Linked DNA regions of Sus scrofa. The protein of the gene in region 1 purifies or fractionates together with the protein of each later gene. This does not show direct contact. Links are inferred from orthologs where the notes say so. Each region holds a gene or a part of one and is shown on either strand. Other genes may lie near its edges.

Evidence for each region.
Region 2: the proteins of ASB2 (region 1) and RNF7 purify together in Homo sapiens (affinity purification with western blotting; 3 studies listed by BioGRID and IntAct, with this or other methods). This does not show direct contact. The link is inferred for Sus scrofa from reciprocal best matches to the Homo sapiens genes ASB2 and RNF7.

Annotation. Positions count from the first base shown.
Region 1 is NC_010449.5:115,207,134-115,223,487, forward strand, and holds the end of ASB2 (ankyrin repeat and SOCS box protein 2), read right to left. Parts: intron 9,902-16,354; coding exon 9,337-9,901; intron 7,872-9,336; coding exon 7,718-7,871; intron 4,435-7,717; coding exon 4,367-4,434; 3' UTR 3,752-4,366; downstream 1-3,751. UniProt on the Homo sapiens protein: Substrate-recognition component of a SCF-like ECS (Elongin-Cullin-SOCS-box protein) E3 ubiquitin-protein ligase complex which mediates the ubiquitination and subsequent proteasomal degradation of target proteins.
Region 2 is NC_010455.5:82,543,763-82,560,216, reverse strand, and holds RNF7 (RING-box protein 2), read right to left. Parts: upstream 11,743-16,454; 5' UTR 11,598-11,742; coding exon 11,423-11,597; intron 7,273-11,422; coding exon 7,225-7,272; intron 5,901-7,224; coding exon 5,782-5,900; 3' UTR 5,329-5,781; downstream 1-5,328. UniProt on the Homo sapiens protein: Catalytic component of multiple cullin-5-RING E3 ubiquitin-protein ligase complexes (ECS complexes), which mediate the ubiquitination and subsequent proteasomal degradation of target proteins.

The DNA.
Region 1 (16,354 bases):
GCTGTGCCAAGGCAGTTGTGTCTGACCCTGGTCAGAGGGAACGGGCAGGCCAAACAGGAGCTGGGCCCCCTGTGGACAAAATAACTGCTGGTTTGACCAAATTCGTCCCTTTTTGGATTGTTATGATCATTATACAACCACAGAGGTGATAAATTCATTTGAGTAATAAAAAAAAGGAAAAAAATAAGCTATAATGGAAAAAAAAAATAAAATCAACCTAGTCTGTGGTTCTATGTCCACAGGCATAATAACAACAAGAACGATCTCTAGCTAATTAGATCCCTAGGTTGCCGGCCCATGTCTCTCTCTCTGGGCCTGATGCAACAACCCTGGCGCACACCAGGCACCCTGTCAATGGGATGAGGGCCTCGGTGGCGAGGAGTGGCCCTCGGTTTGGCCCCAGTAGTGCCCAGACCAGCCAAGCCGCTGGAAGGGCCTCCCCCGCACACTGCACACTGGTCCGGGACCTGCTCTGCTGTGTGGGGCGCAGCTCCGTGGCTGAGCGCGTGCAGGCCTGGCCTGGGTGCCGAGCTGCTCATTTCATCAAATCGCGGTTCTCACGACTCAGGGGGAGACGGGGCCAGCCTTGTTGGGGACCACAGCGCCCAAATCAGCATCCGGATGTTGAGCAAGTTAATCCCCGTTCTGTGCCTCAGTTTCCTGATCTGCAAAGCAGGGATCCAGGTCAAGGGCAGCAAACGGATGCACGCATCACTACTGAATCCAAGGCAAGTACCATCTACTGGTCACAGACTCTCTCCTTTGGGGCCCAGATAGGGCCTCAGAATCTTCCGAACACAAGGTCCCAGATTTAGCCCTGCTACCCTGCCTGTTTGGAGGGCAGCCACGGCAGAGCCGGGGCTTGCTCACTGGGAAGCTGGTGGCTTTCTGGTGGTTTATGTCTGATGATCTCAGCCACGGAGCTTCAGAGCAGGGAGGGTGTTCTGAGCAACTGCCTGGCTCATGTGATGATCCTTAGCCGGGACCTCGCCTCCTAAGAACCGCCAGGGAGCCTGGAGGAGCATGCTCTCCTCTCCCACATTCCTGCAAAAGCCCTTCTGGATGCATCTGACGAGGCTCAGCCCCTCCACACTGGACAGCAGGGGGTTAAAAGCTCTAATCCCGGCCCTGCCACCTACTAGCTGTGTGACCTTGGCAAGTCACTTAACCTCTCTGTGCCAGGACATCCTTATCTGAAAAATGTGATTGAAAACAGACCTGCCACATGGGTAGCTGTGGGGAGGTAAGTGCCAGACACTTCACGACACAAGGGATGAAAAGCTGGACGAACCCAAAGCCACTTCTCCTAGTTATCTGGCTGTGTCAGGAGGTCCTTCCGCAATGACATTTCAGTGAAGTTTATAGATGACTAGAGAGCCCGTGGGAACAGGGGCCCGGACCATCCAACCACCCTCACCCTCTAGAGAAGAGCTCAGCTCTGGGAGGCATGATTTCTTGGGGTGCTGCCCAAGCGTACCACGCCTGGGCCCCACCACCCCACTGGGGTTCAACCTTTCCCAGGGGACACCTGGCAGTGCCTTAATTCAAACTCTGGGAGCCTTGTCTGGAAGCAGATGTCTTTACTAGGGTGCAACTCAACAGAAGCGCCCAGCACCACGAGTGCCCATGTGGAAGCCAGTTGGGAAAAAACACAACTTGGAAAACTTCAGTTATTAAAAAAAAAAAAAAAAAAAAAAAAAAAAAAAAAAAAAGCAGCCGCAGTAGCAGCAGCAGACCCCCCCCCCAACCCTCCAGAAATGAACTGTGTTGGTTCAACCTGAAACCCAGGAACTCACTTCCCACCCTCAGGCTCAGCCCAGCACTGGGTCAAACGTGCTCCTACTGGTGAATGCAACCACTTTCAGGACCTTTGGTGTTTGGTTGATACTGTCTAGACACCTCTGAGGCTGAGATCCTGCCAGGCCGGGCCAGGGGGCACAGGAGGGCGCTGGGGCTAGGGAAGGGGTTGCTGCAGAGGGCGGTGGCTGTGAAGTCCTCTTGACAGCAGAGGTGGTCAAGAAAGGTAACCACTGGCACGGCCTGAGCACCGACCAGAGAACCCACCCCCGGCAGCGGTGGACCATTAACCTGTTAGCTGTCGGCTTAAATGGAGGTGGGGGCGGGGACCTGAGAAGGCCAAGGCTAAGCCAGGCCCTGAAGGGGAGGAGGGGCCCTGACCAGTGGCTGTGACCAACTGGTACGGACGTCCATCAATGGTCTAAGAACCCAATGGTGCCTCTGAGGCCTGGGGACCCCACATCCTACAGATACATGGTGGCGATGCTGAATGCAGGGGCTGAGCCTCCCTCCCCGCGCCTCCCACCTACCTCCGCAAGCCTCAGACCAGCGTCCCCATCCTGCCCAGTACCTGTGGCCACTGGCTGTCAGGACTCTCTAGGATATAAGGTGACCTGAGGATGCTATAGTCTACCTGACCCCAAATGCACCTACACATCTTTCTGCTCTGCCTGTCATTGAACTGCCACCCGCTCTGGTTCCCGGGTCAGGGTTTTCCCCTGACTATGTGCTCAGCCCTCCCCGGCCCCTTCCTCTGGGCCCCAGGGCTGAGCATCCCCAGTCAGGAGGAGGCGGGTTTCCTTCAGAAGTTCTGCAGCAAGACAGCCTGGGGCCCTGGAACCCCAAGGACTTGCTCTGTGTGTCCAGGAAAGCCCCCTCCCCTCTCTGGGCCTGTCTGCCCACCTGTACCTGGAGGGAGTAACCACAACTCAGCCAAGTCCCCTCTGACCTGTGGCTGGAAGATGCTACTCAGCGAACTTGTCCTCTTCGGGAGGACACTGGGACTTATGGTCCCATGGGAAGCCAGTGTGTCAGAGCCCCAAGGCCACCAGGGGCCACAGCCATGGGCATCCAAGGCCCCAGAGGAGCAAGCCAATGGCAGAGCCAGGTCTGGGACCATTGCTCCAACAACCCACCCAGCTGCTGGCTTTCCAAGGGCCGGAAACCACATCTGCTTAAACCTCTACCAGATCCTGGGGTGGGACTGAAGCAGGCTCTCAGCAAGGTCACCTGCTCAGTTGTCACCTGAGTGGCGCCGGGGTCGCCAGTGGCTTTAATCATGTTGGGGCAGACAGTGCCTCTGAGTCACTGTGGCTCCGTGGAAATAGGGAGGTGTCAGCGAGCAGGACTCGGACACAGAAAATGCGCTCTCTCTGAGCTGAGCCTGCACCCCATCAAATGGGCTGGCAGCTCCTGCTTGGCCCCCTTCAGAGCCACATGAGAACGAAGGACGCCACAGGGGGCACAGGGATTCCTCACACATGTGGTGCCTTTGCACCAGCTGACCACAGCCATGACTCCAGCGCTGGCTCACAGTAGCCAGTATGCCGATGCCTTCCCCCCCAGAAGCTCAGCTTTGCAGCAGAACAGGTGAGCAGGATGCGAAGATGTTGCCAGGGGACGCGGGTGTAAGACAAGCCCACGTGCCAGGAGACTTGTAGGCTCTGAGACCCTGTTTGGGATGAAGCTCTTGTTTCCATGGTGACTGAACCAGCAGAGAAAAAGCAACCTTGGCTGCTCTGAGCACAGGGCGGAAAGCTGCCCCCTCTCCTCCGACTGTCGGGTCTCTTCTGGTTAACAACCGACATGCTCTCTTGGGTCTTTCAGAAGCCAAAGCATCCCAAACAGGGGTCTGGGTGCCCTGTCCCAGCCCCTGCCCCACCCCCACTCCTGCCAGGCGCAGGGCTGAGGACCTGCGCCCCTGGAGGGGTCTGGTGAAAGGGACTTCACTGGGCAGGGCGCCATCTGTGCGACATTTATTGTACCTAAGGAAGCCCTCTGGGCTGAGGTCTCCCCACCCCACCCCCTGGGCCACGGCTTTGGGGAGAAAGCTCAGAGTCAAGAGGAGAGTTTCACAGAGCAAAGAGGGAGGGACATGGGGGCCCTGCAGTGAGGTTGTCCAGGAAAGTTCTCCAGCCACAGCTCAGAGTTGGGGCCAGGGCTTCCTGGCTGGCTCTGCTCTCCCCAGACCACCCTAAGTTCTGCCCTGGCCCCGGGGCCCCGGCCCCAGGAATGCAGCTTTCTGCAATTCCCGATGGCAGAGACGCCCTGGGATCTCATTCATATGAGAATTAATGTGGGTTTTCTCCTCCTTGATACATCTGTCTTCGCTCTGGGCAAAGCACTGGCCCAGAGACTGGTGAGGTCACAGCAGCAGCCCCAGCTGAGAGGGAGGCAGCCCCCGGCCTCATCTGTCACCAGGTGCCCTTAGCTTTGGGGACACCGCTGTCCTGAGACTCAGTGGAACCGTCGGAGGAGCCGCTCCTTCCCGCGTGGCCCGGTTACTGGGTGTTCTCGTACTTCAGGTATCTTATCAGCCTGCCTGGCAGTGGCAATGTGTCCAGGAGTTTTATACGGTATTTCCAATGGCCTTTCGAACCTGCAGCCGGCAGAGGTGAGCCAGAGGTCTCGGAGGTTCTGGAAAAGGAGAGAAAGAGAGGTGCCGGTGGGTTGTCTGCACCTGTGACCCCTGGCTCGTGGGAGGTCCCCTGCCCATGTGGCTGACAAAGAGAGGGGGCGCCTGGACTCCTGCCGTGCTCCATAACCCCGGGCCCTGCCAACTGGAAAGATGTCAGCCCACATTCATCTACACAGCCCAGGGAAGTAGCAGGGTGGGTTCCAAACCCGCTTCACAGGGGAGGACTTGGCAAGGATCACACCTGGGACTAGAGCTGGCATTTCCCTTGTCTCACGCTCCTTCCTCTGTCAGCCCAGACTGGCCCCTCCCCACAGCCTTAGCAAATGCATCAGAGGGTTCCACCTCTGAAATGCCCCCAAGGGTGGTATTCAGCTCTGGGCTCCGGGTGGGACAGGGGATGGGGACTGGGCAGCTCCCCGCAGGTCCCAGAATCCCACCGGGCTGCCTCCTCCAGGATGCCCTCTGGGATGCCTCATACAGTGGGAGCTAAGAACAGAGCCTGAGGCATCTAGTAATGGCATAATTTATTTCAGCCCTGGAAACAGGTGGGTGTTTTGTTGAATCAAGAATGCCAGCATTCGTTCAACAACCAGATGCTGACACCTTTGCTGTGCCATCTTGGGCCAGAGATGCAGGGGCGCCCCACTCAGGGACTTTGGGGAAAGGTTTCCACACTAGATAGCGCTTCTAAGCAGGGTCTTGATGGGTGGGTAGGACTATGCCAGGTGAGGAAGGGAGTCAGGGGCATTCCAAACAGGGGAAGTGGCAGTGCCAAGCCAAGGCCACTGTCACTCAGGAAGATGGCGCTGCAGAGAGGCCAGGCGGCTGCAGCCCTGCCTCACTACATGCCTCAGCACTGCATTTCTTTTCCTTTCTCTTCTTTTGTTGTCTTTTTAGGGGGGCACATGCAGCAGAGGGAGGTTCCCAGGCTGGGGGTCCAATCAGATCTACAGCCTCCAGCCTACGCCACAGCCATAGCGATGCAGGTACCAAGTCACATCTGTGATCTACACCACAGTTCACAGCAACGCCAGATCCTTAACCCACTGAGCGAGGCCAGGGATCGAACCCGCATCCTCATAGATGCTAGTTGGGTTTGTTAACTTCTTAGCCACGCCAAGAACTCCCCATCACTGCATTTCTGACACTTCGCTGCCCTCTGATCTCACTCAGGGCAGAATCTGTCCTCTGGGAAGCTCACCCTCTTCGGCAGCTGGGTGCAGACAGAACATGAGCGGAGGGTGGCAAAGGGCCATTGGTGGGCAGAGGGCGCTGGGTACCAGGCTGGCGTTCCGGCTGGCTTTGGAGTCTCTGGGATAATGACACTAACATCCCAGCATTAACCGAAGGAGCAAACAGGAAAGGGTTTTGCAGATGGAGGGTGGGCTTTAAAGTAACCAAAACACGTACAGGTGAGAACTAGTTGTTCTTCCTGTTAACTGTTTATAGCACACTAACAGGTTCTGCATTCTTTTTTCCAGGGACGGTTTAGTTGTAAATTACCCTCCCCAGGCAGGGCCAGAAGGAGGGGATAGGGAGGGGTGGGGTTGACATCGAAGCATGGACCATTCTACCTTCTAGTGGCCAGCATCACAGTGACAGCATCCGAAGATTCATTAATTCAATGACTGTTTCTTGAGCGTCTAGAGCTCCCGTGAGTGGGCAACTCAATGCCACCCTCCCTGTCACCAGCCCAGTAACTTTATCAAGGGCCTCAACTCAAGGGCTCCCAAGTTGGGCACATGGAAAATGCTACAGCAGGTTTGGGTTCACAGGGGAGGAATGTGGCAAGTCAGAGTCAGGGCACTGGGCTGTTTGGCACTTGGACGAGCAATGAGGCAGCCTTCCCACCTGCGGATGGCAGTGGCAGACCTGGGGATGGCAGCGGCAGTGATGGGACCATGATAAGCTTCTGCGGGTCAGCCTCTGTGATACATGATTGACTAGCATTTGACCAGGGATGGGACAGTGCCCCTCAGAGCCAAAGGAAGCCCTGGGGTCGCTAGAGCTCCTCAGACAGGCATCTCTGCCCAGGATCAGCTGCGGCGCCCAGCTCAACTGCAGACGCCTCACCTGCCCAGGTGAGCTCCATAATTCCTTAGAGGGATTCTTGGCCTGACTTAGCCAGGCTGCCCCTCCGACACTGCATGCAGCTGCATGTGGCCAAACCCCACCTCACTGTGCCAGGCACCGCCCCCCCCCCTCCTGCAAACACCCTGGGCTGGCAGAGCTGGGATGGAGCTGGGTGATGAGCCTGCCCAAACTGCTCTGTTCAGACAAAGATGCTGAGGCCCAGATGAAGGGTCCTGCTCACAGTCACCCAGCAAGCCCCTGGTTCCATAGCTCTGGGGGCCTGCCTCCTGGACCAGTGCTGCTCCAGGGGTGGCCTGTGAAGCCGCAGCACTGACTCTGCCTGGAAGCATGTGTGAAATGCAGACTCTTAGGCTCCGCCCAAATCTGCCAAGTTAGACGCTGCTTTTTTTCTTTTTATGACTACACTGGAAGCTCCCAGCCTAGGAGTCTAATTGGAGCTGCAGCTGCCAGCCTACCCCACAGCCATGGCAGCAACGGATCCAAGCCACATCTGTGACCTATGCCACACAGTGCAGTAATGCCGGATCCTTAAGCCACCGAGGCCAGGGATGGAACGCGCATCCTCACGGAGACGACGTCTGGTCCTTAACCCACTGAGCCACAATGGGAACTCCTAGACCCTGCATTTTATTTATTTTAGTTTTTAAGTTGGGGGCGCACCTGCGCCATGTGGAAGTTCTTGAGCCCAGGTCAAACCCACGCCACGGCAGTGACCCAAGCTGTAGACTCTGCATTTTAAACCAGATGCTCAGGTGCTGCCGAGGAACTGTGCAGTGTGAGATGCCCTAGCAGATCACCGCCTCCTCTCCCCACCACACGGCTTCCCAGCGGCCCACAAACCTGGGCACCCTCCTCGAAAGGTCCCGATACCCCTCAGGGAGCTGGAACTGTTTAAAACATCCTGGAAAGACTTAGCGAAAGGGAGGTCAGGGAGGGTCCACCCTAGGTTTGAATCCCAGCTCTGCCACTAACGAGCGGGGAGACATCTGCCCAAGTGACAGTCTGTCTGAGGGTTCGTCTCCCCAGTTACACAACAGGGAACCATCGTGACACCGTGTGTGACACACAGCACCGAGCCTGGCGTGAGAAAGGTGCTCATCAAAGGTCAGCCACATGTCACATGTCCGGCGTCGGAGCCCTGGGTCCGGCAGGGTGCCCTGCCCGCAGCAGCCGCAGCAGCAGCCCTACCTGCCTTCTCCTTGATGACAGCCCAGTCCTCGAAGCTGTCGATGTGCTCCTTCAGCCGCGAGCAGAGCTGCACGTTGCCCACGTAGTCCAGGAGGACGTCGATGATGGGCCCCGCCCAGCGGCTCACCTCCGGGGCAGACAGGATCTCGCAGAACTGGAAGAGAACAGCCCCAGCGCTGGGACCCCCTGGACCAAGGGTGCCGCCCCAGCAAGCTCCTCCCACAGCTGGGGACCTGGGAGGGGGAGGGCAGACCCCGCGCACGCTTGGGGTAGAATCCACGTCTCCAAGGCACACCCTTCTCTCCAAAACACAGGCTTCTGCTGCCAAAAGTGGGAGGTGGGCAACTGGGGCAGGGCACACACCCTCCCTAAGCCTCAACCTTCTTGTCTGGAAAAGGGGCACATAAGGTGCCCCGTTAGCACAGCAGGGAGCACGTCAGTCACACAGAAAGCGGGCCTATCATACCAACTTCAAGGGGTTTTATGAGAATTAAGGTAATATAAACAGAAACTTCTTTGAACACAGTAGACGGCCCATGAATGATGGCCATCAGCCATTCTAAGTATCTCCAAGAGAGGGTGTTTTTGTTTGTTTTGTTTGTTTAGCTTTTTTAGGGCGCATGAGCAGGCAGCCAGGCTACGCCACAGCCACAGCAACACCAGATCCAAGCCGTGTCTGCAACCTACACCACAGCTCACAGCAACGCTGGATCCTTAACCAGTGGGTTAACACTGGAGTGAGGCCAAGGATTGAACCCACAATCCTCATGGATACTAGTCAGATTCGTTTTCGCTGTGCTCATTGGGAACTTCCTAGAGAGGGTGTTTTAACTTTCTTTTCATTTTACATTCTGACTTTTTTTTTTTTGCATTTTAGGGCCGAACCTGCAGCATGTGGAGGTTCCCAGGCTAGGGGTCAAATTAGAGCTACAGCTGCCAGCCTATGCCCCAGCCACAGCAACGCAGAGTCCGAGCCGCATCTGAGACCTACACCACAGCTCGTGGCAACGCTGGATCCTTAATCCACTGGGCGAGGCTAGGGATCAAACCTGCAACCTCATGGTTCCTAGTGAGATTTGTCTCCACTGCACCACGAAGGGAACTCCCATAATCTGACTTTTTAGGTCATCACATGGACAGCCACTGTCCCTGAATCATTTACTTCCTGCATCTCATCTCACTTCATGCAAGCCTGCTCTCGCATGACTCCACTCCAATTCTGGTCATTCAACATCATATTCCAGGGGTAGGTTTGCTGGGGATGATGAACCCCTGAGTGTTGCACAGTTCCCCACTGATCCCCTGCAGCAGAACCCCCCCAACCCCCCCCTCCAAAAAACCCTGATTTGATTGTTCATGTGAACCACTGAGTCCTGCTGCCTCTAAAACCTGCAGGAACCACTAGGTTCCTCTGCCTTCAATGAGCGCCAAGTACCAGTTTACACTCCCTCCAAAGCGCATTAACCATTGCTCCACCCTGCTTCTAAACCCTATTAACCACCCTCTGCTGCTGCTTTCAAAGTGTAGTCCACACTGCCCGCGGAACGGGTGAGCCATGGGGCCACCCGCCTCCGGGGCGCTCTGGCCCTGGCTGCACTCCCCCAGGCGCGCCCACCTACCTGGACCACGCCGGGCGGCTTATCCGTGGCGGGCGTGTCATTGAACCTGTTGGAGGGCGGCGGGGGAGGCGGGTGCGGGCCGTTGCCGTATAGGCACGAGAAGCAGGGCTCGCCGTTGCAGCCGAGGTCCATGAGGAATTTGAGCAGCGACAGGCACTTCATGGCGAACATGATGGTGGCGGGGAAGGCGGTGGGGTGCGTGGTGATGTAGGCGTCGATGTTGGCGCCGTGGTCCAGCAGCAGCTGCATGGTGCGCAGGCAGCCGTGGCGGATGGCCACCAGTAGGGGGTTGATGACATCGCGGTTGGGGTCGGCGCCGGCGAGCAGCAGCAGCTCGGTGGCATACACGTTGTTGTTGACCACCGCGAAGTAGAGCGCGGAACTGCGCCGGTCCTCGTAGAGGCGCGCGCGCTCGGGTGCCAGCGGCGCGTTCACGTCGAAGCGCGCGTTCAACAGAGCCTCGAGCACCTCGTCGTTGTTGCGTTCGGCCGCCAGGTGCAGCGGGCTGATGCCGCTACGGCGCACGCGCGTGCGGCTGGTCACCGGCAGCAGCATCTGCACGATCCTGAGGGCGGGCGGGCACGCGCGGGTCAAGGCGGGGCCAGCACGTTGGGGTGGGGCCTGCCGGCAGGGGGCGCTGGAGGGGGGCCAGGCTCCGCCACTCACAGCTACGGCGGCGGGGGGAGGCGCTGGCTCACCAGCAGGGGGCGCCGTGGAGACAGCCGTTCTCGCAGTTACCACTTGGGGGCAGAATGAGTGGGCTTTACACATACGGAAACGGACGCTCAGAGAACGTCTACCAACCACCTTCTCAAAAACACATAACTGGTGATGAGTGGAGCTGGGCTTCAAACCCAGATCCCTTAGTCTCCAAAGTCTGAATCCTTAAAAACCTCAGCCAAACTGGACTGTGGTTTTAAGAGTCGCTTGCTGACTTGTTTCAGGCTAAAGAGTGTCAGCCATTCCAGCTCACTTATCTGGGGGGACAGAGCAGAAGCCCCCCAACCTGCAGTGGAACACATGGCGAAGCTTGGAGCTGCCCCTGCCCCTGCCCTGCCCAGGGGAAGGGGAAGGGGAGGGGCAGAGACAGCCGTGTCCAAGGGCTCCCTATGTGCCAGGGGACCTCTGAGGACCTTACAAACACGTTTGTTTTAATCTTTACGACAACCCAGAAAGTATGTCTCGTCATTCCCATTTTTTTTTTCTGATAAAAAATCAAATGCTCAGGGAAGTTAGGGAACTTGCCCAGGCCATACATCGGGAGAAAAAAAAAAAAAAAAAAAAAAAAACGGATTTATACTCTCCTCTGACTCCAGGACTGAACCATCTTGCTGTCCTGGAGTCCTGGTGAAGCTACCAAGTCCTGCGGGACAGGAGGGAACAAATGTATCTGGACCCAACCACTCCTGCCCCAGGCCCCAGTCAGCCCTCAGTAACCACGAGGTCCCCTCCCCCGTCCTGTGAGTCTCAGTGCCTCCTGGCCCGAAGGCTGACACTAGCCCAGGCTCTCTGTCCTGTCTGGGAGGCGGAGGCTGCAGATTCTCACCAGCCCTGACTCTGCTCTGTTCTCAGCTCTCAACCTGCATTCTCCCCACGGCCCTGTGAGGTAGATATAGTGTTACCCTCATTTCCAGGTGAGGAAACAGAAGCCCAGAGAGGGCATGTGACTTGCCCAAGGATACACAGCCAGTAGTTGATGGAGCCAGGATTTGAACCCGGGTAGGCTGATTCCCCCGAGGGTGAGGGCCACACTCTACACCACTCCCCTACTTCTTGTGCAGCAGTCAGGTGACAGCGACGAGTCATGGGGTTTCGCATTCTTCACACGGTGTTCTCTTGGCTGCCCCACTTTGCCTTTCACTGGGGCCCTGTGGAGTGGCTTCTTTTTAACGGAGGGCGCCAGAGAGAGGAAGTGACTAATCAAAGGCCAAAAACCAGTTCTGGGGCTTTGACCCCAGGACCCTTGACCCCTGTGTCTGCTTTCTGTCCCTAGACCCGGCCACCTGCCAAGCTGTTGCCACTGATGTGATTCCAGACCCTAATCCACTCAGTCCCTGCTGACAGGTGACCTCATGGCCCCGGGTGGGCTCCAGGGAGGTGGCCATGGCAGGGCAAATGGGTGCCACTAGGCCTGTTCCCACGCCTCTCTGCCTCTTGGCACTTGGGATTCTGGGGCTTCTGGCTTCCTGGAAATCTGATGCCAGGGACCTCCCGTTAGGATCTCAGTGGAAAGCATTATTATGGTTAGTGACGCTGTGTTTGCCTAAAATCGGCCTCCACAACCTCCAAAGGAAATTCACACACCCCGGGGGGGCTAATTGCCTCCTAATTTCTATTTGTGCAGCCCAGGAGGCCTGACCTCGCTCTGGAGAGGTGTTGGTCAAAGGCAGGGCTGGGGCCTCACCCTGGACCGCAGCCATCGCCAACAAATGCTCCGTAACAGCCGTAACATATGCCCAAGCACGGGAAAAACAGCGAGAGTGACTGCCCGGGGCCGCTGGCCAGATGGGCTGGTATCACTGGCAGGTCCCAGCTGGTCCCAGCAGTCCCCTGCCGAACCAAGGGAAGGAAAGTGGCAGAAATGTGGGAACGTGACTGGATGCTGCCAAGAGTCCCAGAGGCACTGTCTTCATAACGCGATAAAATCACCTAATTGCTATACGCGTCTGTAGCAGTGGGACAATGGCCAGGGCCTGGAGGAGCGTGTCCAGCCTTCCATTTTAAAGGGGGTGAAATGGAGACCTGGGTGTGGGGTGGGAAAGAGGGAGGTGGACTGGAGGTGGATGGCAAAGCTGGGGCAGAATGCCAGTGTCCAGGAGTTCCCTGGTGGCGCATGGGTTAAGGATCTGGTGGTGTCGCTGCAGCAGCTCGGGTCGCTGCTGTGGCGCAGGTCCAATCCCTGGCCTGGAAATGTCCACATGCCATGGGCACAATAAAAAAAAAAAAAAAAAATGCTGGTGTCCAGAATATCCAAGGCCAAGTCTTTCCATGGTGCCCCAGTACTCCCAGCCCTGAATGCCGGTGGCCCCACTGAATGTCATCATTTCTCTCCCCAGCCCACTTGGTGGGATAGTGAGCAGGAGGGTCAGGGGAAGACCCCACAAGAGAGGCTGGGACCTTCCCACTTCTTCCACCGCAGGCCTGGGACCACGGGTGCTCAAAGTGCACCCTAAGGAGAGAACAAAGGTACCCCTTGCTTGGTAGAAGCTTTGGTGTCTGGGAGGCCCTGTCCCCCTCTGCTCCTTTCCCCAGCAGGGGCTGCACCCACCAGCTCAGGCTCTGAGAGCAGAGCAGACCCAGCTTAGGGCTGTTCCAAGGATGCCCAGAGCAGCAGCTCAACCTTGGACCCCAGTCCCAGGGCCCCTGCCTCATTCCTAGGACCCACCAGTAACTGAATCCCATCCTCCCTGTCCCAGGCCATCCTTGCTCCGGGTCCTGGGTCCCCACCCCAGACTTCAGTCTCCCAAAGGCTGCTACCCTGCCTGGCTGCCTGTTTCTGGCTCTGGTGTCCCGACCCCCAGCCCAGCGGCTGGGACTAGGGAAGAGAGCTTTGAGCCAAAACAGGCTGTCCTTAGCAGCGTGGGGTCCCACATGGACCAGGGTTACACCACCAGCTCTGCGTCTCAGGGCTGGGCCATCTCAGGCAAGTCACTGAACCTCTCTGAATCACACCTATACCAGAGGGGCAATGAATCACAGCAATGGTGATGCCACTGGTGATAGCTACCCTTTACTGAGCCCCTGTCCATTGTCGTGAGTGTTCACCCTCCTAAATTATAATTACCGTAATACCGCTGAGCGCTCGCTATCGGCCAGGTGCTGTTCAAAATGCTTTACACATTTACCTCATTTAATCCTGGAAATGATCCCATCAGCAAGTACTTCATCTCATGTTCCCTCCATAATAAGCCGGCAAAGTGGGATCACCATGCCCAGGTTGCAAGACACAGTTTGATACCGCCTTTCAGTGAGGCTGCTTCTGAAGACAGAGTGAATCTTGCATGTTCAGCTGCTTAGCATGGAGCTGGCCCTCCCTACACGGTGCTGTTGGAGCCTTAACAGCCTCAATGATTGCATCTCCCTGACCCTGCTGCACCAAACGCCGAGGTTTTTTGGCTCCTCAGGTCACTTTGTCAGCATTCAGTGCAAATTTCACTGTGGACTTGACTGTCCAAAGGGAACCAGCCCCACAAATGGCCTTGCTCCCAATACCAGGGGCAGTACTATGTCTGTGTGTGTGTGTGTGTGTGTGTGTGTGTGCGCGCCTGCGTGTTTTGGGGGTGAGGGGATTACCTCATTTTTTTCAGCCAGTAAAGGGCACTGACATCCTTCTGGGGGAACTTCCCCTGGGGCCAGAATAGGTGAGCAGTTCCTCCCTAAAGGGGGAAGAACAGGCCCCAGCGGCTGGCAGCTCTGTGCATGAAGAAGGGAGCCTGGGGCGTCCTGGGCCCCGAGAGGGAAATCAGAGCTTGCTGACGATGCAAACTGCTTGCTCTCAATCCCTGCACCCCTCAGAATTCCTGAGGGAACCCTGACATGCAGATTCCTCGGCTCTGCCATCAGGCTCTGATTCAGCAGGTCTGGGGAGGAGCCCAGGAGTCTGAGGTGGGGGAGCCTCGCATCCCGCCTTGAGGGATTTTCCTGCAAACTTTCCTCATTTTCCTCCAGCAACGGCCAACGCGAAACCAGTTTCCTGGAGTGGATGCAGTTGGATAAAGGGGCTCATCCTCCTATTTTCCGGGAGGACCTGAGCTCTGAGCCTCAATTTCCCTTTCAATTAATGGGGATACAAACCTGCTTGTGAAGGTGCCACATAAAATGCATTTTAATTTAATGTATTAAATGCTCTTTGTTCTTTTCCCAGAAAGAGTTTTCAGTGGCTTGCAAAGGAAATATAAATTAGAAGTAAAAGAGATCCAAAAAAAAGTAAAGGAGAAAGAATATTTAAAAACGAGGGGGTCCGAAGTAAGGCCCCAAACGCAGGTCAGTGTTATACGGTGTCAGCCACAAATTCGACCCTAAGATACTGGTTCTCTCCCGGAATGTCTGGTAAAATCATCTGGGCAGCTTTTAGAAATTCTGCAGCCCCAGCCCCAACCCAGATTACTTACAGCGAAATCTCTGAGGGTGGGGCCCAAGCCTCAAGGTTTTAAGAGTTCCCTTGGGGTTCTGCTGTGTAGCCAAGGTTGAGAACCACGGTTTCAGTGCTACTCTAAATTCAGGTTAAAGGAATCTTGCAGTATCTGCTTTTGTCTAATACAGTTTCCTTCCTTCCTTTTCCTTCTGGCCTCAGCATGCATCAGCTTGATAAGGGATCCCAGTTCCCAGACCAGGGATTAAACACAGGCTGCAGCAGTGAAAGTGCCAAATCCTAACCCTTTGACCACCAGGGAACTCCCATTTATTTTTTCAAACAGTTTCTTAATAACTCTATCTTTGGAGTTGAGTTTCAGTTATCTTTGCTAAACTGGAAATGGAAAATAAAATGTGTCTTGGAGATGCCTAAGCTTTTGGGGTCCTGGGGACTCCATTCTCAGCCATGTCCAAAGGTCATGCCCTCTAGTTAAATGTGCCGAAGGGAGGGCACCACCCGGCAAACCCTGAGACCAGCTGCAGGAGCAGCTGCAGGAGCAGGCAGGGTGTCCTGGCAGGTGGCTGAGTGCAGAAGGTCCAGGGAATGTCACATTAAGTCCCCAAGCAGCCAATAGAGGACAGTGTGGAGTGGGTCGCAGGCCACATGTCCAGGGAGTGAACGCAGCACTGGGGACTTGCCTGGCTGTGGGCTCTGCCAGGTGGCAAAAGCTGCTGGGAACCTGGCTTTAACCCTTTGTAGGGCAGCCCTCAAACAGCGGAGGGCCCCTCTTGGTCTTAGGGTACATAGGGATATGGTGTCTGAGACCTGAGGGTGAATAAACAGGGAAAGGCTTCAGGAGCCAGCAGGAGAATTGGGGGGACATAAACCATTCACATAGGGGGTTCCAGAGAGAGCCAGCCTAGCTCCGTCACCATCCTTGGGCACATCCAGCATTCCTTCAAACTCCCTGCCAGCTGGGGCCAGATTGCCAACATCTGGGTCCATTCGAAGGCATCCAGGTGTGACTAAAGGATGCCAAATGACAGCCTCAGCTCTGCCAGGCTCTGGCAAGCCACTTCCCATCTCTGGCCTTGGTCCCTTTTCTGAAAAATCAGGCTTGGGTCAGTGGTCCCCTCACCCAAAGGTCTGGCTGGGCTATGTCTGGTTGGCTTAGAGCTTCTCAAAGAGAGAGTCTTGGGCTCCTCCTCTCCTGGAAATTCTGGTTCCATGTATCTGAGATGTTTCATTTTAAAAATAGCCCAGAGTGACTGCATTGTCCATGCAAGTATGGGGAGCCAATGGGCCAGGAAATTTCTAAGGGCCAGCCCTCCCCTCCCTTTCTCTCTGGATCTCTGGGGTCAGGCTAAGATAAACATGTTTGCTGACTGATTGCTGGATCTTTCTGGAGCTGAAGAGAAAGGTGCCATCTTGCCCATCACCTCTGTCTGACTTTGACCTACTTTCAACCTTCCACTGGCCTCATGGAAAAAATGATGGACTGTACCCTCCCTATGTATGAGAGAAAGCAGACCCAGTGAGCACCTACTGTGTGCCAGGTGCACTGCTGGGGGCTTTATCTCCTTTCTATAGACACCTATGTCCATTTCACTGCTCCCTACAACAACCCCCGAGGCAGGTGCAACTACCTCCCATCTTACAGAAGAAGAAACTGAGCCTCAGAGAGGTTCAACAACTTTCCCAAAGGCCTCAGCAAGAGTTCAAACCCAGTTCGGTCTGCCTTGAAGCCTGCTATTCGGTCCAGAGAAGGTGGGGTCTCCTCTGAGCATGCGTGGGGCAGGGAGAGCATCCTTGGTTGGTCATTTGTGTGGGTACCTGCAGAGCAGGGCCTGGGGCCCAGAGGGTCCGCTCTGTCTCCTTGTGTCTCTGTTCCATTCTCCGGGAATGGCACTCACCCCCACTTCCCTCCACCTTAGCAAAGACAAC
Region 2 (16,454 bases), on another chromosome or scaffold:
TTTAGATTGTTGGTAGGCATCTCCTTAGAGGCTAGGATAAAATGGAACCGGCATAGACTATTTCATCTGTCCTAAAATAGTGCCAAAAGTTTTTAACTGAGATTTTCATCTGGGCAGTTTTTTCTTCTTCTTTGTCTTTTTGCCTTTTCTAGGGCCACTCCCGTGGCATATGGAGGTTACCAGACTAGGGGTCTAATAGGAGCTGCGGCCGCTGGCCTACGCCAGAGCCACAGCAACGTGTGATCAGACCTGCATCTGCAACCTAAACCACAGCTCATGGCAAAGCCAGATCCTTCACCCACTGAGCAAGGCCAGGGATCAAACCTGCAACCTCATGGTTCCTAGTCAGATTTGTTAATCACTGAGCCATGATGGGAACTCCTGGGCAGTTTTTTCTAACTCTCCTCCCTGCCCCTTTTGCTACACACACACTTTTGGGAGTCACTCTGGGCCGAGCCCATTGTTGCTGATGGAAATGTACTTTTCAGATGTGTTGAGGTGTTTAAAAAAGAAGGTTGAAAATGATTTTCCTAAAAACCTATGTTGACAGTTCTTCACAGGTTCTGGGTGCACACAAACACAATTCTTACAAGAAGTGCCAATGCAAACTATATACCTTTCTTAAAGACCATCCTCTAATTAAGACAGAGATGAGCAGTGGCAGTACTGATCTATAATAATGACTACCATTTATTGAGTGCATAATCTGTTTCAAGCATTGTTCTAAACAGTTAACATGTGCTGGTTAATTTAATCATCATGGCAGCTCTATGAGATAGATAATATTGTTATCCTATTTTAGTTGTGGAAATAGGCACAGAGAAGTTAAGGATCTTGCACAAATGCAAGATCATGCAGATGGAGTTGAGGTTCCAAGCCAGGCTGAGTGGCTTAGAATTGCCATCTTAGCTACTCTGCTAGTTCATGGCTATTGTCACTCAGGGAAAGCCTGCCTGCAGCCAACAGGTTTACAACTAATTTTCCTTACAGAATTTTTATTGAGAACAGTTAGGAGTGCTTTTCCCCATAATTAAAAACACATTAAAGTGCTACTTCTATTAAAGGAGCTTCCAAAACTTACTAAAATGATGTAACAAAATACCACTTGCCACGTGCTAGAAACTGTACTCAGTTTTACATGTGTATTAAACCATTTTGTCTTCAATCCTCAAAACAATCTCATGAGGTAGGTATTGTTAAGGAAACTCAGGTATAGAGGGGCAAAGTTACTTGCTCAAGGTCACACAAATAAATGGTGGCACTAGGATGCAAATCCAGGTATTCTGGCACTAGAGTCTCAGCTTTCAGCCTCTAAGCTGAGTATCAAAATGCAGAGTATTGGAGTTCCCACTGTGGCACAGCAGAAATGACTCTGACTAGGAACCATGAGGTTTCGGGTTCAATCCCTGGCCTCGCTCAGTGGGTTAAGGATCCGGCGTTGCTGGCAGCTGTGGTGTAGGTCACAGATGCGGCTCAGATCCTGTGTTGCTGTGGCCCTGGCATAGACTGACAGCTACAGCTCCGGTTAGACCCCTAGCCTGGAAACCTCCATATGCTGTAGGAGCGGCCCTAGAAAAAAGACAAAAAAAAAAAAAAAGAACTGTCATGTAAGCATTTCTCATGTATTTTGTTACATCACTCAACTGTCTAATATAAAATGGCTTAACAATTATTTAAGACAAAAGACAAAAAAAAAAAAAAAAAAAAAAAAAGGAGTTACCGTCGTGGCGCAGTGGTTAACGAATCCGATTAGGAACCATGAGGTTGTGGGTTCGGTCCCTGCCCTTGCTCAGTGGGTTAACGATCCGGCGTTGCCGTGAGCTGTGGTGTAGGTTGCAGACGCGGCTCGGATCCAGCGTTGCTGTGGCTCTGGCGTAGGCCGGTGGCTACAGCTCCGATTCAACCCCTAGCCTGGGAACCTCCATATGCCGCGGGAGCGGCCCAAGAAATAGCAACAACAACAAAAGACAAAAGACAAAAAAAAACAAAAAAACAAAAAAACGATTATTTGTACTTTAATTCCAATTTTCTTTATATCAAAATCAGCAACATTTTCCTTAAATGTTTTTTTAAACAAGGGCTTACTAAAGTAAACATGGAAATATTTTCATTTTCTTTTCTGACTATTACCCAAAGTTAGCCCTTGGCAATATGCTAAAAAAGCAACAAAGCATTTTTTTAATAGTTACCTTTCTTATCAGATGTCTACTAAACTTCTAAAGGAACACTTAAAAAAAAATTTTTTTTTTTCTGATTCCAAAGCCTTTTAGCTTCAGTTAAATGGAACAAGTTTAGGCTTATTCTTTAAGTCTAGAAGACTGTTAAGTGAATATTGACCATCACATGTGTGTTCCAGCTATTAAACACTAATGTAAGAGCTGTTCATACCTTTAGAGAAGAGGGCCCAGATCACTAAGATTTGGCTCTATGAATTCTTTTTAGGATAGCAGCTCTTCACAATTCTGAACCTCTTATATCTGAAAAAAATTATTTTGTGTGTCATTTCAGGATTTTCCTCTGGAGACAGCAGAAGCAAAGTATATGTTATAATTGCCTATACAAGCGCTTAAAACCATCCCCCACCGCTCAGCCAATGCAACCTCTAAAGGGCATGTTTTGGAAATATGAGTTTTCTTTTTTCTGCTTTTTAGGGCTGTACCCATGGCATATGGAAGTTCCCAGACCAAAGGTTGAATCGGAGCTACAGCCACGGGCCTACACCATGGCCACAGCAACACAGGATCCCTGACCGACTAAGCCAGGACAGGGATGGAATGCAGCAACCTTGTGGTTACACTGTTGCTGTTTCAAGGTTATACTGTTGCTGTCTTCTTGTAATGATTATACACACCACATTCCCACACTCATCAGGGGACTTCATTGTGTCTCCTGGTGTAATTGCGTCTAAGCACTTACATACTGAAATAGAAATGAATTATATCCACTTATCTACTTTATATTACAATTAAGTTAGTAGTATATACACTTTAATTATGTGTGGAGACATATTTATGAACTTCATTTCAGGATAATAAAGACATATTTTTTTTTGGTCTTTTTGTTTTTTTAGGGCCACATCCGTAGCATTTGGAGATTCCCAGGCTAGGGGTCTAACTGGAGCTGCAGCCGCTGGCCTACGCCACAGCCACACCAGATCCAAGCCTTGTCTGTGACCTACACATGGCAACACTGGATCCTTAACCCAGGAGCGAGGCCAGGGATTGAACCTGAAACCTCATGGTTCCTAGTTGGATTTGTTTCTGCTGCGCCACAACGGGAACTCCAAGGGGACATATTTTTAATAAAAAAGATGTGATGAGTTTGGCCGGTGAGATTTACTTAGATGTCAGCTGTACTACAAGAATGTAACTTACGCAGATGGAAAATATAGCTGAAGATGACAAATGTCTGTTTCCAATAGATTAGTGAAGTAAAGTTTAACACTGTTTTAATCAAATGTTAAGGAAAATCTGTTCAATGCTTAACTTTTGCATTGGAACTCATAAATGTCACAGAGTGTTCTTTTCTGATGAGACAGCATGTACTAAACTTTCAGATGGCTATGCAGATGAGCTGATATCATCCCTGGACGGGTAGGATCAGTGCAGCTTTGTCCCAGTCCCTCCTCCTCTTCTACCCTCAGATGCTGATGTGTAACAGAAACAGAGCTTTGTTAGGTGGTGGGCCTGTGGTTTTGGTATATGGAAAAATCAACTTATTGCCACCATCCTCCACGTTTCATTTACATACCATCGTACTGACTAAAATTACTTAACATTCTTACTATTTCTCTCTTTACTATAAAGCCAAATATTTGGTTCACATTTTACAGACACAAGCTTTTAAAAAGGTCAAAGAGCTGCTAAAATAGTTTACTGCAGAAGAAGCACATTCAAATGGTCAAATGTATCTGTATATTGTAATTAATTCTTTCAGTAAATTGTGAAAAAAGATAAAGCAAAAATTTATAAGAAATTTGGTTGATAAATAGTAGCCAAGGTAAATGCATACAGAATTCTAATTTTATTTTATTATGTTTTTAATATTCTTTTATGTATCTTCATGCCTTAGATTTAAAAATGATTCAGATTGGCAAACTCAGAAATTATGAAGGTGAATGGTTAAGATTTTAAGTTTTTTTTTTTTTCTTTTTAGGGCCACACCTGTAGCATATGGAAGTTCCCAGGCTAGGGGTCCAATTGGAGCTGTAGCCGCTGGCCTACACCACAGCCACAGCAACTCAGGATCTGAGCTGAGTCTGTGACCTATACCATAGCTCATCACAATGCTGGATCCTTAACCCACATAGCAAGGCCAGGGATTGAACATGCATCCTTACGGATACTAGTCATATTCTTAACCAGCTGAGCCACAAGAGGAACTCCCGAAATCTTAATTTTTTAAATACATAAGCAGTAGGCTCTATTAAAGAAAAATTAAAAATGAACTTGTGGTCCATAAATTCTTCTAAGATAACTTCCACTGAATGTGAGTTGGTTTGATAAAATTTAAGTATTTTCTTACAGTTATGTTTCCAGCCAATAAAGTTAAAATTTTATTATCAACGAAAGAGTAAATGAATATTTCTTCAAATTAAGCAAAATCATTCACTCAATAAACAAATTAGTTTATAAATATTAAGCTGAAGGTTGTGCATAAACTTGTAATAAAACAATTCAAATAAGGCAAACAGAATAAATCATTTATTAAAACACTGTGATAACAAACTTTCTGACCCAATGCTATAATGGTAAATATTTCCCCTCATTAATATTCCACTTAAAACAGGTAAATCACAAAACAACATGACCAGAATTGAAAATACTTCTGTCCTTTACCACTCAATGACTGAACAATGATCTAGGTTTTCTTTTTTTTCTTTTTCTTTTCTGCTTTTTAGGGCTTCATTCACACCATATGGAGGTTCCCAGGCTAGGGGTCTAATCAGAGCTACAGCTGCCGGCCTATGCCATAGCCACAGCCACACCAGATCCGAGCTGCGTCTGTGACCTACACCACAGCTCACAGCAATGCCAGATCCTTAACCCACTGAGCATGGCCAGGGATTGAACCCACGACCTTGTGGTTCCTAGTCGGATTTCTTTCCACTGAGCCATGACAGGAACTCCGATCTATGGTTTTCTTGATGAGTCAAAGATAAAGGATGATAAACTCAAAGACAATTGAAATCCTACACACTAAAGGTTAAATTTTATTTACCCTATTCACTGGTCCAAACTTAAAAATTCTCATTATATCAAATAAAGATTTCATGAATCATTTCCTTCCTGCCAAAAATAAATATTAGGAACAGATTAAGGGTAAGAGTCGGGTTTTAAACTGCACTTTATTTGTTACTATAACATTATCTTTCTTAAAAAACTGATCAACCATAAGCATGCAAAAAGTCCACTTCTCAATGGAACTGCTTCCATAGCCCCTTGGATATAAGTAAGTAAACTATAAAGGCTGTTCAATTTGTAGCTCTCTCTTTTATAGTACTTCTAAGCAGTGTGTGAGACACATACCATAGAGGTAGGAAAGACCATTTTTAATAAATTATCTTCTTAATTGTAGAGCATTTCTGAAAACAACACCTCCTCTCCGAAAAAAAACTGAAAAAGACTAAACCATGCCTTTGATGAGTCCCAGGGACCACAGATCCATTGCCTCCTATTAGAAGAATTAGTCCCCTTGGAGAGTTCTAGCCTTGGTAGAGCACTTGATAACAAGAATCCCCAGGGCTCCACACAACTGCATGAAGAATACCTTCCACCGCTCTCATTTGCCGATTCTTTGGACCACCCAGTCCTGCTGGCAGAGAGGGCAGCGATTGTTCTGTTTCACCCACAGGGACATGCAGCAGTTGTGGAAGGAATGATTACATTCTCCCCAGACCACTAAAAGAAGAAGAAGAAAAAAAGAATATCTGACAACATATTTTAATTTAAATTACTGAGCTCAAAATTCTATCTTATTTTATATTGTATAATAATTATGGTTCATAATCTTGAATAAAGGCGGTTAGCTGGTCAAAAGAAGAAATAGAAACTTTCTTAAATCACACTTAAGAAATGAGAGAAGGCACTGTGTTTGGGAACTTTCCATCATTTCAGAATCTGTGGGTGATGCAGTTCCTACATAGCTCCACATGCTGTCCTTCTCAAATTACAAGATTAAAAACTTAAGTTTTCCTTAGATCTCATACCATCTCAGTCATACACTGACCTCAGAGACATTTTGGGCTTTATTTTATTGAAAAATGTCTTCCTGATTTTTATTCACCAAGATATAACGAATTTTAAATGTTTTCAGTTCACAGTAGGCTATTTTAAACAGAGAAAAAAACCACCCATAATCTGGAACACAATCTCAAACATGGGCTTTGTTTGCTCCTTGCTTGACCAACTGAGCTATAACAGAACAATGAAAGAAACTGGAAAAAAAGAAAAAGAAAAAGAAAAAATCCTTATGCAAATTGGCTGTAGGGGTAGGAAGCAAGGGGGACTCATTTTAGGTCTTTTGGGAGGAAGAAACAGGGTTTGGTCAAAATTACACAAATCATTAATAAGCTGCAGGTAAGCCATACTAACACAAAGTACAAAGTTAACCTTCTATTCCAGGAAAATCTTTAACACTTTTATATAGCAATCTAGAAGTGATAACCTAAAGAACCTAGACATAAAAACCTTTGAACTACTTAAAATACTTAGCCTAAAACAACTTCTCTAGTAAAATTTAACAGATTTTTATCTGTAAACTACATTCCAAAAAAATCTTGAGAATAGTTTCTACCTTAGTAGAAAAGTTAAAATACTGGATCATAAGAGTATTGAATATTGAAATGCTGTATTAGAATATAATCCTGACTGATAAAAACTGACCTGTAACATACTCAAAATTTAAAAGATATTTTGACAAATTTCTTACTTTATACTATTCTTAATAAAAGGCAATTATTTCTTTTGTGATTATCAAAACGTTTATCACACCTGTGTCTAGAATATATAACCAATTCTTAATTACAAGCAACTAAAGGACTTAAAGATTAATTCCATTTGAGAACTGGCCCTTTGAGAACCAACACACTTTATATTAATAATGGATTACTGCTTTACAGTTTATTTTATGTATTGATAAAGTCAATCTTAATAGCAAATTCAAACATCCCCACTGAGAGAAAATCTTCAGTTGAAAAAGGAAGAGAACAAAATTACAACATACCAACACAATCCTCCTGTTTGTTTTCAGCTTGACATCTAAGACAGGCATCTAAAAGTAAACAAATAGCAATTCTCATTCTGATGCTCTGAATGCAATTTTTAAAACCCATACACTTCAAAGTCAAATAAAGGCCCAAAGGGTTATAGATGAAGATTAAAGGACTCATATTATTACTTTCTCATTCGAACATAACTGCTTAAAGATGAATAAAGTGCAAGGAACTCTACTAATTTACTTATGACCAGGAGCAATTTCACAAGGGTTATTGACCCTCTATTTTTACAAATTCTGATGAAAAGATGTCCTGACAGTGGATGAAACCACCAGAGAAAAATACACCATACTCCACTATATTAGGAGTTGTTACACGCTCACTGGGCATGCTCACACAGATCAATCTCATGGGTAGTATATTTTCCAGACATTCTTTTAAAGAAACCACACATATATACTGGTATTTGTTTACAAATACATAGAAAGTCTAGAAGGATACTCAAGAAACTAATAATAAAGTTTATCTGGGAAGGGATAAAATGGGAAGGACTTTTAATTGTATATTTTCTCAGATTTTTAAATTATGTGACTGTATAAGCTTATGTCTTTTTTTTTTGGCCGCACTGGCAACATATGGAAGTTCCCAAGGCAGGGATCAAATCCAAGCTGCAGCTGTGACCTACAGCTGTGGCAATGCCAGATCCTTAACCCACTGTGCCAGAGTGGGAACTCCTTTATATGCTATATGAAAATTAAATGTAAAAAAACTCCCAAATACCTAGTTCTCTTTTTTTAGTTTTTAAGGAAATGCTCCCTTTACAAATATGTCTGAGGCCAAAGCATTTACCTAATGGTAAAGTATTTTAATAAATTACTTGGGAGTAAATATGAGGAGTGGGAACAAAAGGGCATACTACAAGTTTTCAAAATTCAGTCAGTATTAATTGCTTGATGGAGGTAATAAAGAATATTGTAAGAACCAATTAAATGGATTCATTCACTAGCTGAAAGGAGTCAAACCTGGGTAAAAGGAAGTTTAAACCAACAGAAAAAATAAGTTTTAAACATAAATTGGAGAAAAATAATTCTGTAAAAATAGAAATAGTGGAGTTGAAGCCTGCTTCTCTTCTTACATTAGATTTTGCTCAGGCATTTGTTTGCACCACTCTGCATGGTCTTCCCTTAAAAAACCACACCACCCTGGCCTCTTCAGTGTGGATTACAAACAACCAACATCTCCTGACGACTTCTTCAATTCCACAATTACTGAGTATTTCCTCTGTGCAAAGAGTTATGCCCTCAGGACACCAAAATGATCGAGTCTGGATCCCTGCTCTCACCAGCAAATGGGGAGGTAGAGAGGCAAACAACTACATATAAGGATCATGATATCAGGGTGAAGACAAGGCCCTGATTCTGTGCAATCAGAGAATTACAGTTAATGACCCCAATTGCCTTTTTTACAAATTGGGAAAACAAGGCTCCAAAAGGTTATGTCAAATGTCCCAGTTAACATGCAGCTCTCGGTTTTTTTTTTTTTTTGGTCTTTTTTACCTTTTCTAGGGTTGCTCCCGTGTAATACGGAGGTTCCCAGGCTAGGGGTCTAATCGGAGCTGCAGCCACTGGCCTACACCAGAGCCACAGCAACTCGGGATCCGAGCCGCATCTGTGACCTACACCACAGCTCATAGCAACACTGGATCCTTAACCCATTGAGCAAGGCCAGGGATCGAACCTCATGGTTCCTAGTCAGATTCGTTAACCACTGAGCCACAACGGGAACTCCAGCTCTCGCTCTTTATACCTCTACAGTACTAGCAAACCTATTCCCCTTTTCCTTGTCAGTGCTTGCTCACTGTGTCATTTGCTCCTTTCAGAATGAAGGGGGTGGGGGTGGGGAAGAGTGGAAACAAGGAAGTGTTAACTACATCAGAATGGGTGGACAGGTAAATCTTAGATCAAGAAGTCATAAAAATTTTGAAATAACCTACAATGGAAAAGAATCTGAAAAAAAAAGTGTGTGTGTGTGTGTATTTGAATCACTTTGCTGTACACCTGAAACACTTTTAATCAACTACAATAAATTTTTTTAAAAAAGAAGTCATAACAAATCATTTAGATGTATGAGATGAATTCTGAATTCCAAATATTAAGGAAGTGGGATTAGATAGGCTCTTTGTAGAATCTAAAAATCTCTGAATTATGCTTATAGCTTTGATTTAATTATTTAAAAAAAAAACAACTGACCTAAATGTATAAAAATTCCTAAAGTTTCAGATAAAAGAAAACATTTTTCCTTTGGTGATATTCCTAATATCTAAAACAGCACATTTCTAAGGAGTACAATAACAGTAACACCTTTAAGAATGACGCTACCCTAAGGATTGGCAAGTCTATAAAACTTCCTTCTGCCGTCACCTGACCACTAAGTGGATTTTAACACCTTATAATCAAAATATAGAGGTCTAGTCCAGAATACTTTCCTGAATCCAAAGTACAGCTGTTGTAAATCTGCAACATTAATCCACAGTAGCGGAATACTTGCTATAATTAGAAAGTTAATGTGCCTGTTAAGTCATTTAGAGCCCATACTTTGACCAGGAAGGTTTATTTGCTGCCAAATTTCAACCATTATTTAAAACTCTGCATTTCTATTTACAAATTTAAAATTTTTCCCTGGGGAGAAGAAGAAAATAACCTTTCAGAAAAACCTCTTTTTTTAATCACTTAGGGGATAAAATTTTTAACAAAGTTTTTTCTCATAAAAGAACAAAAATTGTTTGGATAAGTCAAAAATGCCACTCAAAGCAGAAATTATGATTTCAGTTTTTAAGTAAGGAGTAGGGTAAGGGGGCTGTATTGCAGGCCAATAAACAAGGTATTTTTAAAACCTAATATGCAAAACACGTGGATCATGTCTGAAATAAAATTCTTTTAAAAGTAAAAAAATAAATATATGATATCTCATTGTTGTAAATCTGCTTTTAAAATGAGTCCTTATTTTATGAATAAAAAACAAGAAAACATACTACAGAGAGGGTAAATGAAGAAACCTCTTGATTCTGGCAGTTCTGAATTTTCATTCCTCAAGAAGGGAGAGTGATTTTTTTTTTTTTTTTAGATTTTATTTTTTCTTTTATAGTTGATTTGGTTCCTAGTCGGATTCATTTCTGCTGCGCCACGAAGGGAACTCCTTATAGTTGATTTGAGAGCAATTTTTGAGTTATTTTCTCCAAAACTCTGATTTTTCGGTTTAAGATGTAAAAGCTTTCAAACTATAGAAACCTCGGTTTCATTTAAGATGCTCTCACAGTGATTTTAAATGCCCTATTAAAAAAAATAAGGATGCATTTAAACAGCATCTCTTTTTCAAGGTGTTCTGAGATCTTAGAACAGAAACCATATAAAATATAACAGGATGAAGCTGTCCCGAAAGGTTTCACTTGGTCCAATATTTTTAAAAAAATTTATAGAAAGAAGTGACTTATTTGTAAAAGAAAATTCTCCACAAAGGCCTATCAGGACACTGTCTTCTCCAGGAAATGGCATCCTTTGATAGCGTAGGGCCAGGAATGAGATTAAAATTTATGTTTCTGAATAAAGGGCTTAACATTCTTCTTCAAGACAAGCTACTGCCATCTGACCAGTCTTGAATCATCCAAGTTTTAAAGCCAGCAGAACAGTAGCTAATCCCGAAAGGCAACAGCTAGGGACACTTCTTTCCTGCGCCTCTCCGGAACAAGACTAAGAGTCATTACTGTGGAAGATGACTCCAGAGCATCACTCTGGTGTGTGAAAAGAAGCATTAAAACGACCCGCTGACTCAGGGCCTTGACCGTGACCTCTACAGTTTGCTTTTAGAAAAGGGTGGCGAGGTTGGGCCCACAAACCAAAGTGGTGCCTCGCAGCTCCCATCAACTCACCTACTTTTATTGTCTTGACCACACCCATCACTACCTGAAATTACCTTTTTAACTGCCCTGCTTTCCACCTGTTTCGTTCCCCAGACTACCAGTCCCCGTCGCCGGCCGCAGCCCTCCGACTAGCAGCAGCACGGGCGTGGCCCCAGTCTTTCGCTCCCAGGCAGGGCGACCCCGCCCCTATACCTCCAGGAACAGTCTCTCCGAGGCTCGGTGTGTCCCACGGGCCGGAGCTGGGCCCGCGGAGGCCGCAGCACAGCCAGGGTCTCGAGTGCAGCGCTTACCCATCACCTGGACCCTGCAGATGGCGCACGTATCGCACTCCACGTCCCAGCTCCACATGGCCACCGCGTTCCACTTCTTCAGAGAGAACATCTTGTCGCCTCCCGACTTGGTTCCTGAGCTACCGGAGTGAGAGGACAGGGCGCAGGGCTCCTCGCCGTCTTCCACGTCTGCCATGGCGGCGGCGCGAAGCCGGCGGCGGAGACGTTAGGTTGCGGAAGGCGGGCGACTATGGCGGCTCCCTGGGGCCCCTCGCCGGGCCACAGCGCCGCCCGCAGGCTGCGGGCCACCGTGGGGCCTACGACGGAGGCCGCCCGAGACTGGCTGGCGCGTCCCAGTGACGTCACCGCCCCCGCGCCCTGGGCCCGGCCCGCTCCGACTCTTTGGCCAAGAATGGGCGCCGCGCTCAGGAGGGTTGCCGGTGCAGGAAGCAGGTGTTCTGCTTTATGCCTTCGTGACCCTTCTGGCTCTCACAAGTTGTCATATTGATGTACTCCCTTCCTAAATGAAAACGCCATCGGAGCGAGGACGTGACTTGATCACCACCTTCTCCTGGGTATGTGAAAAATGCCTGGCCTCAGGAGGGGTAGTTATTTGTTGAGTGAATGAATGACTATCTTTTAGAAATCTGGTTCAGCCGTTCTCAAACTTTTTGGTCTTGGCACCCCTTTACACTTAAGAATCACTGGAACATTAAAGAACTTTCGGTTTGTAAAATATGTGTACACACAAACACACACTTTTTTTTTAAGAAATACGAAAAAAATTTTAATGTATTCACTTAAAAAATAACCATAGGAGTTCCTGTTGTGGTTAAGCGATGAGGAACCCGACTAGTATCTAGTATACATGAGAATGCAGGTTCAATCCCTGGCCTTGCTCAGTGGATCGGTGTTGTTGTGAGCTGTGGTGTAGGCTGGTAGCTGTATCCGATTCAGCCCCTAGCCTGGGAACTTCCATATGCCACAGGTGTGCCCCCACCCCCCGCCCCCGCAAGGAAAAGCAATAAACCCATTACAAGTAATCATTAGAACAAGGATATCACATATCTTGTAGCTTTTATAAAACTCCACTGTATACTCACAGGAGAAAGTGAAGAGAAATAGCGGTGAATATTGTTATGCAAATACTTTTGACCTTGTTTCCCCTGAAAGGATCCCAGGAACCCCCGGGGACCACACTCTGAGAACCTCTATCTAGTCCAACATCCTCCTTTTATTGATAGGAATGTTGAGGTCCAGAAAAATAAGATAAAGACACACCATTATTCCCTAAAGGTAACTGTTTTGAATCCAGGGTTCTTCTGCATCTAGCCCGGGGTCATATTATTATGTTTTCCCAAGCAAAGCAGATAACATCTCTATTTAAATAAGAAAGCTGTGGTATGGAGAGCCCACGAAGATGCCTGATCACCACTACCACCTAGTGGTGGACACCTGCTGTGTCGGGTTTGGAATTCAGAGCCTCCCACCTTTTCCTACTGGGCCTCATCCCCTCCTCTCCTGATGTCTGGATGGGGGCTAGAAGCTCCAGAAATCTGGCGGAGGAGGCAAGGAAGCATATATGTGTGAAAATATAAATGTGGATACATTTGGGTCACATTTGGCTAGATGCTGATGGAAGAGGTGACGTTTGAACTGGGGGAAGATGGGAGGCATCGGAGGCCCGGAAGTGGGTGGAGAAAGCAAACCTCTGCAAGGCTGTCAGGTTGAACAGAGCAGTAGTAGTGGTGGCAGATGTAAAGTTGACCCCACTAAGTTTATGAGCCAGACAAAAATGCCTGTAAACAAACCCAGATGAACCATAAAGGACACACATTTTACTCACATTAAGCTACCACACATCTGACTAGAGATGCTATAAATGCCAGATAGTTAATTTAAAAAAGAAGGCTAGAACCAGATGAGGATAAAATGCCCCCAGTTGGGGGGAACTGGGCAGTTTGAAAGAGAAAAGGAGGGAACTCAGATGAAAGGCTAGAGGATGATTAAGAATGAGAAATGGTAGGAGTTCCCTCTCATGGCTCAGTGGGTTAAGGACCTGGCATTGTCACTGCTCTGGCTCAGGTTACAGCTGTAGTATGTTCAATCCCTGTCCCTTCTGCATGCCCTGGGTGTGGCCAAAAAAGAAGGGGACAAGGAATGGTACATGCTTATGCCTCATCTGAACCTCTTCACTCTGTTCCTGGCTTATTGTGTCCTGACTTCTTGTCTGGCCTCCCCATTCAATCTAAAGTGCCTGTTTAATCTGCTTAGATCCCCCTTTCCACCTGACACTAGCCTGCTCAAAATGTTCCATGGCTCTCCATTATCATCAGAACAAAATCTAAATGTCCCAGCTGGTCCTTTAAATCCTGCCACAGTATGGCCCCAACCTACCTTTCTAATGTTATCTCCAAGCACTCCTCTCTGAGACCCTCATCAGATTAGTTGATTCAGCCATCCAAAGACACCTTAGACTCTTCTCTTCCCCCGACTCCATTTAACATCTCTGGAAGTGGTCAGAACCTCCCTCTGTCTGCTCTAACTACATTGCGTTTGCTGTGAGGAAAACTAATTTTCGTGTCCTTACTGACCACTCTTTGCTACTATTTATGCATTCCTCCCAGAAAAATCATAGCGCTTATTGTGTTTCTTCCACTCTTTTGGCACTAGGTCACATAACAACCAAACAGTGCTGTTACTGATGATTATCAAACAATTTTGAGTTTTTACAAATTGATAGCTCATAAGTGATAAGACCTTTAAAATAGGAAAATGAGTATTCAGTGGGAAAAAAAGCAAGCACTGTCAATAGAGTCTCCAGAAATTGCTCTGTATGTACTAACAAACACAGAGCACATCAACTCACTTGAATTTTTAAAATTGTGGTAAAAATACACATAACATAAAATTTACCATCCTAACAATTTTAAAGTGTAGAATTCAGTAGTATCAAGCACATTCACATTGTTATCAACCAATTTCCAGAGCTTTTTCACCTTCCAAAACTGGAAGTATACCCATTAAACAACTCTCCATCTCCCTCTTCTCCCTCCAGCCACCATGCTCCTTTCTGTTTCTGAGTTTGACTACTCTAAATATCTCATATAATTGGAATTGTACAATATCTGTCTTTTTTGTGACTGGTTTACTTCACATAGCATAAAGTCCTCCAGGTTCTTTCATGCTGTATGTAGCATGTGTCAGAATTTCCTTACTTTTTAAGGCTAAGTGATATTCTTTTGTGTGTGTGTGTGTGTTCATTCATCGATAGATCCATAGGTTGCCTCCACCATTTGATTATTATAAATAACGCTTTTATGAACATGGGTGTACAATTATCTCTTCATGATCCTGCTTTCAATTCTTTCTGATATAAACCCAGAAGTGAAATTGCTGATTCATGTTGTATCAATTCATTTTTAATTTTTTTTTTTTTTTTGTCTTTTTGCCTTTTCTAGGGCCGCTCCAGCGGCATGTGGAGGTTCCCAGGCTAGGGGTCTAATAGGAGCTGCGGCCGCTGGCCTATGCCAGAGCCACAGCAATGTGGGATCCGAGCCGAGTCTGTGACCTACACCACAGCTCACGGCAACGCCAGATCCTTAACCCACTGGGCGAGGGCAGGGATAGAACCCTCAACCTCATGGTTCCTAGTCGGATTCATTAACCACTGCGCTACAATGGGAACTCCCTTAGTTCATTTTTAATATGAAAAATTCACATATACTCTTATCTGGGCTTTTCTTTATCTTTAATAGTATGACTAGGACATCTCTCCATATAAGCACTTCCATATCCACATTATTCTTCCTAATGGCTGTGTGGTAGTTTTCCACCATGTGTATTTCCTGTGGTTTATGTCCTGGAGAACCCTTTGAGACATGTAGCTGTTTCCACTGTGCAATGAACAATGCTGCAGTGAACATCTTTATACACATTTCTTTGCATATGTGTGAGGTATATCTGTAAAATAAATTTCTAGAAGTAGAATGTTTGAGTCAAGGCTATGTATTTTTCATTTTGATAGACATTGCCAAAAGACCCCTAAATAAGCACACGGATTTTACACTTCTACCCAGTGGATGTCAGTGGGAAATCTTTAAAAAAGTTTGTTTTGTTTTGGTTTTTGAGCAAGAACAATTTCTCAGGAGGGCTCACACATTGGATATATAAGTTCTGGAGACTTGTTAAATTGATGTCACTACTCTGTAGGCTTCCTTACCCTAAGGATTTATACTATTTCAACTCATGCTCTAATGTTTTTTACTTTTAATGTATGAGGATCTTATCTTCCTTGTTAGATGCTAATCTGCAAGAGTGGACACAATTTTCTGTACCCAACCTCACCTCCTCAGTTAGTTGGGTTCCACTAACTTCCTAGCACTTGTTACATTTTATATGTTGGATGAATGACAGGGTTTGTTTTTATAACTTCAAAATGAAGTCTTAAGTCCTCAGCCACCAGAACTGCTGCAGTGACAATGCCAGATCTTTAACCTGCTCTACCACAAGGGAACTCTGATAGGTACCATTCTTATCTGTATCTTACAGAGGAGAAGTTTAGGTACCTGGAGGTTAACTGACTTGCTCAAGGTCACCCGGAAAGCAGCAGGATTCCACAGAGAATTCTGGTTCATCTAATTGCCTAGCCCATGCTTTTTATCCCTGTACTGTATACAATTTACCTAATTCAATTTATCATCTATGCATTGATCAGGATACTGCTTCCATTTCCTTTGGAGCTATTGAAATCTTACAGAGTGTGGAGGGTAGAGTGATCAGAATTTTCCTCATTTGGGGAAGATCCCCATTGTTAGGGTTGTTGCCTTTTAGAAAGTGGTTATTTTCCCCCAAAATCCCTATTTTTCCCAACCATAGATATATTTATGAAAGACAAGTCTTTCTTTCTTAAAGATCATGACTTCCTTCAAACTATAAATTTCACACGCACAAGAGAACAAGCTTCAGAGAAGAATCCCACTTATTTTTACCAAGGCTTATTTATAAAGTCAACATTTTAGAAAATGACAAGCATGGTAGGACTAACACTACT